Arabidopsis thaliana: one gene and its partner. The protein of the gene in region 1 interacts with the protein of each later gene in a pairwise test. Each region holds a gene or a part of one and is shown in the gene's direction. Other genes may lie near its edges.

Evidence for each region. Proteins that work in one complex are often made in the same cells at the same time.
Region 2: the proteins of AT1G22190 (region 1) and AT5G48240 interact in a two-hybrid assay, tested with the Arabidopsis thaliana proteins (one large-scale study listed by BioGRID).

The regions. Positions count from the first base shown.
Region 1 is NC_003070.9:7,831,876-7,839,373, forward strand, and holds AT1G22190 (Integrase-type DNA-binding superfamily protein), read left to right. Parts: upstream 1-3,905; 5' UTR 3,906-4,369; coding exon 4,370-5,155; 3' UTR 5,156-5,536; downstream 5,537-7,498. Other genes in the region: AT1G22200 (Endoplasmic reticulum vesicle transporter protein), read right to left, coding at 5,982-6,073, 6,173-6,239, 6,337-6,429, 6,518-6,571, 6,817-6,868, 6,958-7,025, 7,111-7,290, 7,476-7,498.
Region 2 is NC_003076.8:19,556,018-19,563,839, forward strand, and holds AT5G48240 (Rrp15p protein), read left to right. Parts: upstream 1-3,225; 5' UTR 3,226-3,283; coding exon 3,284-3,727; intron 3,728-3,808; coding exon 3,809-3,910; intron 3,911-3,994; coding exon 3,995-4,076; intron 4,077-4,183; coding exon 4,184-4,203; intron 4,204-4,287; coding exon 4,288-4,348; intron 4,349-4,438; coding exon 4,439-4,503; coding exon of another isoform or gene 4,504-4,574; coding exon 4,575-4,660; exon of another isoform or gene 4,661-4,755; coding exon 4,756-4,810; exon of another isoform or gene 4,811-4,885; coding exon 4,886-4,981; intron 4,982-5,076; coding exon 5,077-5,136; 3' UTR 5,137-5,258; downstream 5,259-7,822. Other genes in the region: BBX8 (B-box type zinc finger protein with CCT domain-containing protein), read right to left, coding at 5,702-5,831, 5,916-6,217, 6,320-6,487, 6,575-7,096.

The DNA.
Region 1 (7,498 bases):
ATAAATGATAAGATTAACCTAAATTTAATCGGTTAAAAATATAGGTAGATGGTCAGGACTTACGTGATTGCACAAAAGTAAAGGAAAGCAACAAGTGTTTAGCAACAATGGCAAAAGTCTTTTTATGCCAAAAGCTCAACATATCAAGGAAATGCATTAGCAAATGACATGTATTTAGATGGATACACAACTATATATTTTTTTCTCAAATTTTCGAATTTAGAAAATATATTTAATAATACGAAAATAACAATTTGTATATTTTAAGCACGTTTACGGAAGGAGTCCTATACTATGGAGTATGATTTATCGTTTCTGTTTATTGGTGTTTTTTTTGTAATACAACGTAAAAAGTCCATTAATGAGAACAAAATACATCCTTGAGAAGCTTTTTTTCTTACCATCTTGTACAAAAACATACGACATAATCACATAAGCTTTGTATAATAAATAGTCTGCAATGGCCATATGTCATGCAAAAATTAACGGAGACAATTCACCTAAAATCCACATGCAATTCCTCTTTCCCTCGTAGAACAACGTGCAACTGATCGAAAAACAACGACACCCTCCTTTCGATATCACCAAAGGAAAAATAAATTAGCAAATCTATTTTTCTCTACTTTCACTTCACCCAATACACGCATTTTCACATGCATTTGTATTTTACCAACTTGTTCTACTACTACTATATTTCTCATCTTATGCATTAATATAAATTAAAATTAGGTGAGTATATTTCTCATTTTACGTATTAGTGTTAATTAAATTAGGTGAGAAAATACAATTGTAAACTAGTAAGATCATTCAAAGTCAAGAGGTCAAAAAGACACGTGGAGTTTAATAAGCCTTTTAAGGTGAGCTAGTCAGATAAACAGTACAAAATGGACCTTTGAGGGTGAACACGTGGCAGATTCGCAACGGTTGTTTGACTTCGACAGATAAAACGGACGCGTTTGACGGAAACCGCGTTATGAGCATTAAATTGCAAAAGTTCATACCAAAAGCAAAAATCCAATCAGATCCACCTTCTTTTCTTTTCTTTTCTTTTCGACCAAATTAGTCACAAATCGGATCTACCTTTTTTCTTTACGATTTACAAATATTTCTCAAAAATCCTAAAAATGACATGTATGTACTATTATATTACTTGATTTAGATGCAGTGAATCTAGCTATCAAACAACTACTTTTATAGACAAGTTAAGGAACAACAATGCAAAAATGTCAGTCATTTCATTTGCCCCCAATAAAAAAAAAATGTCAGAGAACTTGAGAGTACACTAATAAAGTATTATTGTTTAAATAAACTAGATGAACACCCATGCTACGCATCGATTTTTGTTTTTAAAATTGTCGGAAAAATATGATTATGGTTTTTTGTTGATTTTGATGTTCATTTTGATTGTTTGACAAAAAAAAAAGATGTTCATTTTGATAAATTCATCCATTTAATATAATTATTATTTTTTATGATTAGATTCATCTATAACTCAAAATATCAATTCAACTACAATATGAATATTTATATATTTATTATTCTAATATTTCACTATCATGATCACATACTATAACAGTAAATGATATACTGATATAAGTAGTTATATTACTTATGTATTTTAAAACTTGTCTAACTTAATTGTAACAAACAATTCTTTATTCCATATATTATCTCGTTATCTAGTACACAATCACATCCTGATATGCTAGTAATTTAAGTCAACATTTTAATTCTTATCCCTACCATATAATCATATAAAGTCACATGTTGTTGTTTTTTTGGTATGTCTAATGTCTAGGATGACTATTACGTGAAAAAATTATATATCAATGTTACAAAATTATCTTAACACACAAAATGTACCGAAAGAAGTTCATATGATAAATCAAATTCACAAAATATAATAATAATAAAATATTTAACTAAAATTACTAAATTAATATGAGGTTAGGTAGCAAACATCTAAACTACAACACAAGTAAATTTTTAGCCATTATAGATTAATGATTATTGATTAAATGTTTTTAATAAAATAAGTAGAATAAAATGAAAGTAGTGCTTGGTACATTATTATGACTTTTTATTTATCGAATGTTTTTTAGAAAATTCATTTAAGAGTGAGATTAACACAACAAAAGACTTTTAATTTTTTCTCAATTAGTTTTGCTAGTTTTTTTATTTAATTAATATAGAATGACACATGTCATTTTTTTGTGTGATGATGTATCATTTATATGGAGAGTGTAGGCCAATTTTCATATATATATGATTTTGAATAAAAAGAAAAATTCAAAAGGAGAAAAATAGGCAGCAAAAAGCTGTCAGTTATTACATACAGCTAAGACTTGAGTAATGATTTTGTAGTTGACTATTTCATTTCCCCTGTGGACACGCTCGGCTTACGGTTATGAAATCATGCGTTGGAGTTTTTCTTGCTTTTCCCTTTTCTCATGCGTAGAGTTTTTTTTCTTTCTTTACAATTTGTTTAACCATAGTTTTATAGGTTTGTAGCTATATGAGTGGTTAATTTATGGTCTAGCTAATTGGTCTTTTTCTTATTCAGTTTTTGCATTAAATGTAGATATCAATACTGAAAGTTGACTTTTATCAAAAATACATAACAAAGTATAAGAAAAATAACGCTTAGACAAGTTATTACACATATGCAATGTTCACCAAAGCAAGCAAGTACGAAATATACATGCATATGATAATACATGTAAACGAGATAAATCAGCATCGTAAAGATGAACTGGTAACACGGACACGAGCCATCCACATGGGTGGTACCTCCTTATGCGCGTCTTCCCTCAAAATATTGATCATTATAAAATGATGACACCATAGTCTAACCTTGCAAATTGACGCCGTATTGATTGTAGTGACATTTGTACACGATTACACGAAGCAATAAATTAAGTGATGCAACTCTATAAGATATCGTAAGATGATGAAATGTTTAATAAACTAATTAAATGGATGATATAATACGGAATTGACATTTGAGGAGTTCTCAGCCATTCATTCTAACCCTCTAGACCCTTCTTTTTTAATCTTGTATGATTTATTATCTAAATAAAAGTCTAAACCACTCATTAACATGATATCATCATTACATTGCGAGCCAAAATTATTGCTTAACAATCATGAAGTCTACGTGTGTCACATTCGGAACCTCCGAATAATTATTTTTATACTTTTTCGGTTTGATATACTTCAATATATACTATTAATTTGGATAATCTCATTCTTAATATTCTCTCAGTTCCATTTTATTGAAAATTTTCAGAAGTTTTGTTTTCGCATATATACAAAAGAATTCTAAATCTACTAGCTGGACTAGTGGACCAATTGTTGGACGCCTCTACCAAATAAATCGTAAAAATATGTTGATTTCAATTTTATCAATTTGGCTGGAATCGAAGTGCTCGTGTACATTAGTTTCAACCGCTTAGAAAGACGTCTAGCTAAATGAGTAGACAACCATTTTTTTAACTAATCTTTTAAAATTTATGGAGTTGTGTACGTCCACTCACTTCTATTTGAATAGAAAAAAGATTAATATGGTTATGGAAGAAACGTCCCATAAAGCCGGTGTGAATGTAATATAATGAAATGATTCTCCATCAAACTATGATTGTAAAATTAAAACGCTTCGATTATAGAATAAACTTGTAGAAACATTTTAACTTGTAAAAATTAACCATTCTAAAACAAAACTTGTTAAAACTCAACTTACAAACAATGTTTGATTGAAATTGAATATATATTATTTGGAGTACGTAAACATGGATGATCTTATCTGAAATAGTACATAAAATAACAAAAGAAAAAATTAATTAAACATATAAATTTGAGAAATATGAGGAGGATGGAAAAAAGAAGTCACGCCACGCCTCCTATATAAACAAGAGCCAAGCTAATGAGATAAGTGTATCGGTGAGGCTGAGAGTTATTCACTTACAAAAAAAAAAAAAAACTTGAGTGTAACCAAAAAAAAAAGTTGATATACTTTCTGGTTTTCTCCTTAACTTTTATTCTTTACAAATCCATCCCCCTTAGATCTGTTTATTTCCCGCTACTTTGATTCATTTCTGTTAGTAATCTGTCTTTCGTATAGAAGAAAACTGATTTCTTGGTTTGTATTTTCTTAAAGAGATCAATCTTTTTTTATTTTTGATCTTCTTGTGTTTTTTTTTCTTTGTAGAATTAATCGTTTGTGAGGGTATTTTTTTAATTCCCTCCTCTCAGAAATCTACACAGAGGTTTTTTATTTTATAAACCTCTTTTTCGATTTTCTTGAAAACAAAAAATCCTGTTCTTTACTTTTTTTACAAGAACAAGGGAAAAAAATTTCTTTTTATTAGAAATGACAACTTCTATGGATTTTTACAGTAACAAAACGTTTCAACAATCTGATCCATTCGGTGGTGAATTAATGGAAGCGCTTTTACCTTTTATCAAAAGCCCTTCCAACGATTCATCCGCGTTTGCGTTCTCTCTACCCGCTCCAATTTCATACGGGTCGGATCTCCACTCATTTTCTCACCATCTTAGTCCTAAACCGGTCTCAATGAAACAAACCGGTACTTCCGCGGCTAAACCGACGAAGCTATACAGAGGAGTGAGACAACGTCACTGGGGAAAATGGGTGGCTGAGATTCGTTTACCGAGGAATCGAACTCGACTTTGGCTCGGAACATTCGACACGGCGGAGGAAGCTGCTTTAGCTTATGACAAGGCGGCGTATAAGCTCCGAGGAGATTTTGCGCGGCTTAATTTCCCTGATCTCCGTCATAACGACGAGTATCAACCTCTTCAATCATCAGTCGACGCTAAGCTTGAAGCTATTTGTCAAAACTTAGCTGAGACGACGCAGAAACAGGTGAGATCAACGAAGAAGTCTTCTTCTCGGAAACGTTCATCAACCGTCGCAGTGAAACTACCGGAGGAGGACTACTCTAGCGCCGGATCTTCGCCGCTGTTAACGGAGAGTTATGGATCTGGTGGATCTTCTTCGCCGTTGTCGGAGCTGACGTTTGGTGATACGGAGGAGGAGATTCAGCCGCCGTGGAACGAGAACGCGTTGGAGAAGTATCCGTCGTACGAGATCGATTGGGATTCGATTCTTCAGTGTTCGAGTCTTGTAAATTAGATGTTGCCATAGGGGTATTTTAGGGACTTTAGAGCTCTCTGCGATGGAGTTTTTGGTCATTGCAGAGATTTTATTATTATTAAGGGGGTTTGTTATGTTAATATCAAATAAGTTTATCTACTTTGATGTTAATTAGTGTTAATCTCTGCGTCGGTCCAAGCTGTTTTTTTTTGGCATGCTTCGACCGTGTGAGATTTCTTATGTAATTTTTGTAGTTCCTTGATTTTCTTAGTTCAAGTTAAATTGGCACAAAAGAACAACGATCAAAGTAGAAGAAACTAAATTCCTTAACTATAAAAACTTGATTGGTATGAAACTGCAAAAACTCCTTCTAAATCTACAAAACATGTAACTCACTTCTCGTAATAACTAAATTCTGGAAGTGTTGCTTAGACTGTAAATGAGGAAGCATCCTGAATCAACTTTAGTGTATTTCAATCCATGGCTTTAAGCTAATCTAAGAAACCACTTTCTCTGATTATCAACAAACGTAGACACTTAAAAAAACAAGGCTTTAGTTTAATAACATAAAGCAAGATCGGTATCTTCAGATTTAGACTACACTTTAAACAAATGAGCTCAAATTAAATAGGAAAAATTAACATTCGTTTCAATCGGTGATAACAACATTTTACACTTTGTATGTTGCCTATGAAGAGATAGTGAATAGTGAAAGGCAAAGTTCAGATCCTGGAATATCTTACAGTACTACAAAATTCTTTAAATCATCGCATTGTCACAAATTCAAACCTAATGTCTAACTGTAAAACCCGTAGAGATGATTCTCCAGTAGCTGATCAAGAAAGTGTGGAGAATATCAAACAACTCAGTTGAATTTACCAATCTCCATTTTCTTCTTAATTGCTCGTTGTCCATGGTATATGAACGAATCTACTATTCCCGATACCGTGAAGATACCTGCAAATCAAAGGTATAATTTTAGTTTTGAATTTGATGATAAACATATCAGTAGGGTATGTTTAAATTGAATGGAGAAGGGATATATATATTGATTACCTCCTACTATAGCGCAAACATTTGTTAGGAAGTGCAAGAACTCCACATGTTGCTCCTCAAATATCACCTAGCCAACAATCAAAAGTTAAAATGTTTCTAGAGATATAGTCTCCGTTGGTATTAAGAACACGACTTGGAAAAAGAAAAAGAAAAAACGAACAGACCTTAATTGGCGATAGATCATAGTAGAAGAAAACACCAGGCGGAGATTGCATGCGACCTGCTTCCATGTTCTGGAAATGTTCTGTCACAGAGAACTGTTAAAAACAAAAACTCATAGGTTAGATTTTACAAGAAGAAAATGACAAAGATTTTTATATAGAGATTTGGGGATGTGGGATTTACCTGGTTTGACTGTATTGTATTCTGGTGAACATCGGTGTATATGCTTGGTACCACCTGAAATTCAACACCACAATCCATTCTTTATCCCTACGCTCAACAATCTTTCTAGCATGCAAAAGCTACCGATAAAGAAATTCTTATTGCATTGGTCAACAAGCATAATGTATTAATGTCTTTGTACTTCTCTATCAGTAACCTGAGCTAATAATGAGCCTTTTAGGAATCTCAAAATTTTGTACCTAAACTATTGTCCCAGGTGAGAGCATTGTCTATAGATATAATGTACAAATGAAGCAAACCTTGATGAAGTATTGATAGACGCCACTCTGTTTCCCCTGATTCCACTGCACACTGAGAGAACCAAGAGAATGTTTCAGAAGATAGGATTATTGAAAAAGCGATAACAGGTGCGAGTAATGGCTATATAATTGAGTTTTTACCCATCAAGAGGGTTCACTACACCGGGGAAAAAGTCTCCAAAGGCCAACCTGTTGACCTTGTGGCTAATCTGTGTAATGATATAATAGAGTCAAGACCCATTTGAAATATGAGCTTATAAAGAGAGAATGAAACAAAAATAAAACTTTTCTTACATTGTAGTTGCCTTGCTGGAACAATAACATATCATGAAATTGAAAACCGGATTGATGAAAGCTTTGCCCAGGAATGAAATGAAAGTTCCCAGCAACTTTGTTAACTTCCAAGAAACCGTGAACATTACAACCTTCACCTTCTTCATCTTTTACCTTTTGCACAAAGCCTTCTCTTTTACACTGAAATGAAATGATGAGTAAGAATATCATACAACTAGATGTGGGGATAGCTGAAACGAAAGACCAGATACCCATGGTTTCTTTAGATATATCCATTTTAGTGCCAAACAAGGTGTCACTATTTGTTTCAAACTAAGTACCAAGATCAACCCAATTTTGTTGTTAGTGAAGGAACGTCAGTATACCTGGTCGATTGATTCAGGGTCCG
Region 2 (7,822 bases), on another chromosome or scaffold:
TCTCTCCCACACTTAATCCAAATGGATAGACATAATTGGGTGAGAAGGAAATCTAAATAGCTTTATTGTACATTCCCTTAATAGAAGTTAAACTCTTGAGTCTTCTTAAGTTAATAAATTTATTGTGGGACAAACTAAACCAAGATAGATTTTTGTGTTCATATGAGCTTGTTAAAGTAGAAATCTAAAATTGAAAATAAGATGGTTCATTAAGTTTAATTGTGCAAGAAATCGAAAAGAAGAAAATATTCAGATTGTCACCACGATTAAAGTGGTTCTTTGACTGGTCTCATACAAAGCAAAAAAAGAAGAAGAGAGAGTTAACACAAGAAGCAACTCCTAAAGATAACTTCCCTTCTTCTCATTATACAAATCTATATAAATCTATTTTAATGACAACCCTAAACATATGGGCTAATAAGTTATTTCTATGACAATGAGTTTTTATTTTGGACAAACTTCTATGACAATGATTAAGTGTTCCAATAACTGCAGTTTGTTTGACCAAGATTTTGATTCCAATTTTTAATTTTTATTCGATATGCAATTATTAAAATCCGACTCAACCCCAAATTACGACCCAAATTCAACTAACAAACACGAATGGGATGGAGATTGATTTTTTTTTTTAGTGAATTAGGATGGGGATTGATTTTCTGTCTGGAAATGGAATAGGTTGTTGGGAACGAAAAAGCAATCTACTAAATACTCTCTATTGTACCTTCCCTTGATACAAAAGTTAAACTCTAAGTTAATGAAATTGTAGTTAGGCCAAAGTTTTTTTTCTGTTTAAGGGCAAATTATAATTATTTATTAATTGTTTATCAAAAATAAAATATCGGTCAACGCATAATTCTGACAACCGAAGTAGAATGGTTATGGTATTGGCAACATAACTTATATTTATTTGTGTATGTCGGTATGTTATAACAATATATAGTGTAGCTAACAAGACATTTTTAAAGTATGCATGTGTGACTAGATGATGACATCTCTTTCGTATAAGTAGCAAACATTTATCCATTTTTGTGCTCATATAAACTTATTAACATAAAAATCTAAAATTGAAAATAAGATAGTTAGTTAAGTTTTATTGTGCAAGAAATAGAAAAGAATAAAATATTGGGATTGTCATCAAGATTAAAGTGGTTCCTTGATTGATCTCACCAAAAAAAAAAAAAAAAGAGACTTCTACGAGAGGCAACTCCTAAAAATACTTCTCTTCTTCTTATCACACAAATTATGAATCTGTTTTGATGGAAACCTAAACACATGGGTTAATGAGCTATTTCTATAACAATGATTGGGTTGCTCTACTAATTGTAGTTTGTTTGACAAAGATTTTTATTCCACTTTTATTTTTTGTTCGATAATTCCTTATCCAAACTTGATTTAAACCCCAATTTTGACCTGAGTTCAACAAATAAACGCAAACTTAGCGAACAGGATGAGACAAATTTTCTATCTCGAAATAGATTAAATAGTTATTAAAAACTTATTCTTTTTATCAGGATTCTTTTGTTCTATTCCTTTCACAACTTTGAATTCTTTGAAGCACTTTTGTATAAAATCACAATCATTTTGTTCAGATTTTGGGAGCTGGAACTGAAGTGTTGTTTCTAAAATCTTATCAAAGGGATGCATGTTGTATTGCTTTTGTGTCGCTTATTAAACTTTCAATTTGCACCCAAACGAGAAATAAGATCAAATCCTCTTGTTTTCATTTAGATTTGTGTTGACATTTGTGTTAGTTTCTTAGTGTAAAGGAACAAGTTTGTGTTGACATACATTCTTTCTTCGTTTTTTCAGTGGCAATTGACAGTTCCTTACTTGCTACTTCCTCTAAGATTGTCACTTACTTGATAAGATGAACAACGATGATGTAAGTTTCTTTTTTTTTTCTAATGTTATAGAATTGTATGATTGAGAATTGGATGTTTTTTCCTGAATTTAGAATTGGTCGGACGAAGAGTGTTGATATTTTCTTCAACTTTGTACTGCTGAGGAAAAAGGGAATAGAAGAAAGACGAGATTAAATATAACTGGAAAAGAGTCCATCATGAGATAGTTTGAAGAAAAATTTGGGAAGAGATATTCATGGGATAAACAATTCAAGAACAAGTATGATGTGCGTAGAAGAACATACACAAAGGTTAAAAACTTGCTTCATAACAGAACTGAAATTACATATGATTCTGTGTAAAGAATAAATATAATTTTTCTTTTCATTACGTTTACCTAAGTATTTAAGAAAGCAAGTAAACATACTTTTAATAACTAAAGGTCGCTGAAAATTCTAAAAATTGTAACGTGAATTCTCAAAACTGTAAAAACTGATTCTTTTTATTGTACCCTATATGTTAACGTTAATTCTCATAACTCTAAATTCTTATTTTTCCATCAAAATCATGACGTCAATCAAACTGTTAAAAGGCGAGATACAAATATAAATATTGTACTAATATTGTTAATCTGAAATATCTACTATTCAAACATATTTGTTTGAAGTATATCATATTACATGATACATTTTTTGGTGATGAATCAAATTGATGAATAAACATTTCAATATGAAATTTACTTGTTTTTGAATAATTATGTAATACTTTTTTTTATTAGTTATATTTTGTAAAAAAATATAATATTTTATTATAAATTTCATCAATTGACACATATTCATTCATGACAATTTTTTTATCAAGCTTGAGATCCTCAAAATGGTTTTATCATTAGTTATATTTAAAATTTTAACATTAAATCATAATAATATAAAAATTTGGTGTTTTTCAGTTTTCTAAAATTATAAATTATATTATTTTGGTATTTTGTATTTACCGTTATCGCACATGCTAGTTAACCAACTATAAAACTTCAACAAACGTAAAATTTAACCGCTAAATCAATCATTTAAAATATATGATAACTCTTAAAACCGCAACTCTCCGTTTCCATAAATTTCAGCAGTCTGCATTTGAACCATTCAAGCCTCGTAGTTTGGTCAAGAACCGATTACGCGGCCAAATCTTATATCCGACGCTAAGTCGCTAACCATGTGGAAACCATTATTTATCAATAGAAATCAAAACGACAAAACCCGACCTAAACCGAAATCTCAAATTCGAACCCAAATCCAACTTACAAACCTGACCTTAACCGGAAATCAGAATCCGAAAACATTTTCCCTTATAGCAAGGTTTAAAGAAAGCAATAACAAAACCCTATCTCTCGTCTCTTCTCCCCCAAACTCTCGCCGCCGTGATAACCCAAAGTTCTCGACGAAGCCATGTCTACCGGAGAAGAAGGTCACATGGCGATGGCAGATAGAGGCTCTAGAAAGAGAAGAGTCGGCGTTAAGAAAGGTACTAAAGCGGCGAGGAACAAAAAGCAAAAATCAAAACCTTCTACTTCCGATAGGTTTAAGGTTACAATGAAGAATCAAAAGCTATTTCAGAAGAGAGCACGAGATTACAATTCCGATGACGATGAAGAAGAAGATGATGAATCGAAGAAACAACCAGAAGTAACAATTCGTGAGAAGATCTTCTCTGATGCTAACATGGGACCAAATTACGAAGAGATTGGAGAAGAAGATAATGATGAGAATTCAGATGGTGAAGATCATGGAGAGATTGAATCTGGAATCACTAAGTTTGCTACTGATGGATGTAATGCTTTCAAAATCGCTTTTAAAGCTATTATGAAGAAGACTAAAGGAGATGATACATTGGTGAGATTTTATAGCAGATTCTAGTTTTGAGTTTTGATTTGGGAATATAGTGTTGAACTGTGTTGGTGTTGTGTGTAATAGGGCCCAGTTTTATCAGCACATAAGCATCTTATTGGAGAGAAGCTAGCTGAAGATGAAGCTGAAAAGAAAGCTAAAGGTCAAGCTAGAAAGGCTAAACATTTGGTATGAGTTTGGTTGTTGTGTTCACTATTCGTTTGTGTTCTTGTGTTTTAGATGATGATTTATCTTAACAATTGCTTTTTTAAGATTGCTGAGAAGGGACATGTTAAACCTGGAAGTTATTTGGATTCTCATGAAAAGATTCTTATTGGTGTTGCTACTAAAGGAGGTATTGTTGCTTTGGTTAAACTCTCTGTTTCTTGAGATTGTTTGGTTTTTTTTTTTTGTTTTAGTATTGACTCTTTTTTTCCTCTCCATGAACTTGTGGTATCACAGTGGTCAAGCTTTTCAATGCTGTAAGTTTGTTTCTATGTCTATTTTTGAGGTTTTTATTCTCCGGTAGTGATTCGTATGATTCTTAGTTTATGTTTTTCAAATAGGTCAACAAGGCTCAACATGCTCAGAAGGGTTTGAATCCTTCAAGGTCTAAAGACGCTAAAGGTAGGCTTAGAAATTGATCGTTGGCATGAATCCACTGTCTTGTTCTTATCTTCTAATTCTCGTTTTTTATCCTATTGGAACATCCATCAGTGCTGAAGAAGCGAAGAAAAGAAGCATTCTTGTCTGAGTTAGGGAAAACAAAAACAGACACCAAGGTTTGGCATAGTCTCCATATCTCTTACTCTCTCTCTTTCATTATGATTTATCTTGAGAGTTTATTCCTTAGCCGTTTGATGCACGTAGAAACAAGTTAGTATTCTGTCTTGATCTAGCTCCTATAGAGAGTCACGAAAAGAATCACCTCATGAGTGAGTGATAGATGTTAGTTATAAATCAGAAGTATTCTTAGTAAATTACTAGTAACAATTTTGAATGTTCTTAAAGCCTTCAACTTTGGATGAACATAGAAGCAAGTTAGTATTCTGTCTTGAGCTGGCTTCTATAGAGAAAGGATCACCTTCAGTAGCGAGAGCCGTTAGTTATAAGTCTAAAGTATTGTTGGTTAGTTAACTAGTGATATTCTGTTGGATGGTGCAGGCTCACAAATCTGAAGACGAAGCTCCTGTTTGGGCTCCTCTACGAGATAATTACATGTTAGCAAACCCAAAACTGAAGGACTGGGACAAGAAACAGGTATCTCTTCATTCTTATCCACAAATCTGGAATCACATAGCTTGCATACTGATTTATACTCTTTGATCTGAAACTTAAAATTGAATTGTCCGCAGGAAACAAGCGAGGGAGATGATTTTGCCGGTTTGTCAGGAGATGAAAGTTATGAAGACTGAAGAGTTTAAACTAGTAGTTAAACGAGCAAACTTTAATTTTGCCTTTGTATCATGCAAATTTTGTCTGATCAATATGAATGAATTCAGTTTTTTGATAGTGCAAAAGGATCCTGAAAGGTTGTGATTCTTGTGGTTACGCTTTTAGAAAATACACTTGTTAGTATCATTAACCAATACCGTAAATATAGAAGTGATGATACTCCAAACTTCTACATGGTTATTATTTATATGACGTAAAAAAAATATACATTCGTTGTTTTGCCTTGGCTACACAAATTATAATAGGACAAAATTTAAGGATCATGAACCTGAATCTGTAGAAGAGTTTCTAGTTTCACAGTCAAGTCATGATGCCAAATGACAGAAGAAGATAACAAACTTTATGCAAAAAATGAGGCAGAACTGCAGAAGCATGCGCCTTTCTAAGCAAGTATGACGCTTTTGAGGCGGAGAACTCGTGTTCCTTTTCAACCAATAATGGCTTCCAGATCCATCGCTGCCAATTAGTTGCATCTCTGTCTTATATCTCCACTTTGTGATCTTTCATTGTTTTGAGGTTTTATCCTCAGTAGCTTCTTGTTGGGCTCATCGGGTCGTAATCATAAGCTTCACCGGACTTGACAAACCGTCCTTTCACACGCCGTCTCACATCAGCCCTTTCTTTCCTAGAGACATACCTTACTCGCTTGTCAAACCTATTTATACAAAATATGTTAAATATTAGCTATAACAACTTTCAATGATGAATTAAATTCCTTTCTGTGTGCGTTTATACTTACTTGCGAGCCTTCTTCTTTTCCTTGTAACGCATAACAGCGTTATTACGTGTTGTTGCATGTGAGGAAGCAATAATGTCCTGTGCTGTTGGATGGCACCATGGTTGTGGCTCCCTTGAAAGCTGCTTCATCGATGACGCCCCACAATCTTGGAAATCTCCAGCATTACTTTCTCCAGTGATGCCAGAGAAGGAGATATTCGAATGTGCTGGCTTTGATGAATAGCAAATTATTGGCTCGGTTCTACAAGTCATGAACGAATCTGCAGATGCATTATTGCTTAATGCTGGCTGCTGCATTGAGCCCTGAATTGAGAAAACACACAAAAGAGCATAAGGATCACAGAAAAAAATCATCCTTAACTTTAGTGATACTAGTCTCAGATAGAAGAAGAAGGTTGACAAAACCTCATGAGCTTCATCTTTCTCGAAAAGACTTCCAATTCCACCGTGCTCGAAGAGATATCTTGATGAGTTGAAGGCTGAACCAAAGAGTTCTTCATAGTTCTCAAGAGCCAAGTCTACTTCATCTGAAATGAGATTTCCATTGAAGTCATCCTCACATACTCCAAGCTCCTACAACCAGTACAATAATAAGAAACATTTAGACGCTAGTTGCTTTCAAGATCTTACCACAATATGAAGAAAATCATGTTAAAATACCTTAGCCATTGATGAATTTTCTGGAACACTAGAGTGATCCATACCTTGTGCAGCCGAACTGGTTTCAGGCTGTTCTACATTAATTTTTTGGACACCAGATTTTTCTCCTGTGCCATCTTCATCTATAGTCATCAAACCCATTCCTTGCTCACAAGCGGATTCTTCAGCAGAAGAGATATTCAAATCCATACAGAAAGACCATATCGAGGATAATTCGGCACTCGAGGGACAACCAGAATAACAATTGATGGTTTGCCTTTTATGATGTGAAGTAGTAGTAGAATTCTTGCCGTCATGGCCTGACCAATCACAGTTTTGACATAGAGAAACCCTCTCATCACTACACCGGACAGAAGCTGGCTGTGCATTACACCTCTCACATACCAAAGTCCGCGAATGACGTTTCGATAGAGCATTAGCAGAATGAACATTACGGTCACACGAAAGACACAAACACGCTGCATCAGATCGACAATACACCATTGATCTTTGTTCACCACAGAAATCACACATATAACCCATCTTTCAACCAATCTCAACCGTCACACTGAAGAAAGCAAGCTCCTTTCACTAACAAAGAATCAAACCATTTTGGTTAGTCCCTTATATCATAATCTTAGAAGGAAAAAAACTTACCACAATACATTAAACAACTAACAAAAGCTTGAAACTTGGTATCGAAAGCAAGTCCAGAATTAGATAAAAGTCCAATCTTTTTAAACATCTCTTCCTCAAAGATTGTAACTTCCTATGGATGAGACTGTTCTAAATCAAAGACCAATCAAAAGAGACATCAGAGAAACCAATTAACATCGCAGAAAGACTTCAAATTTCAGATCAACATGTACCAATCAGAGAAGTGAGCTAAAAAATTATAGATTTCTTATTACAAATCCGAGAGAAGTGAAAGAAGATCCATTTCAAGATCAGTCAAAAAGGATTGAGAATCAAAGCAACCCTCACTAAAATAACAAGACAAGGGTTTTAAAGAGCTCACGTAGGAGAGATCGTCAAGTATCTTCTGAAGCAGAGACACCAAAAATGAATGACTTTTGAAACGAATAAGCGATGATTCCACAAATTTCTTCTTTAGCTGCGTGTGAAGAAGGGTAAAAGGAGAAACAGATGGATAGACAATGGGTGGGTTGTGTCTGCAAAGGGACATGTAGGCAGAGGCATGTGACATAAGCTGATAATTCTAGAAACATTGGGTAAAAAGTTCAAAAGAACCCATTTTCTAAGGACCCT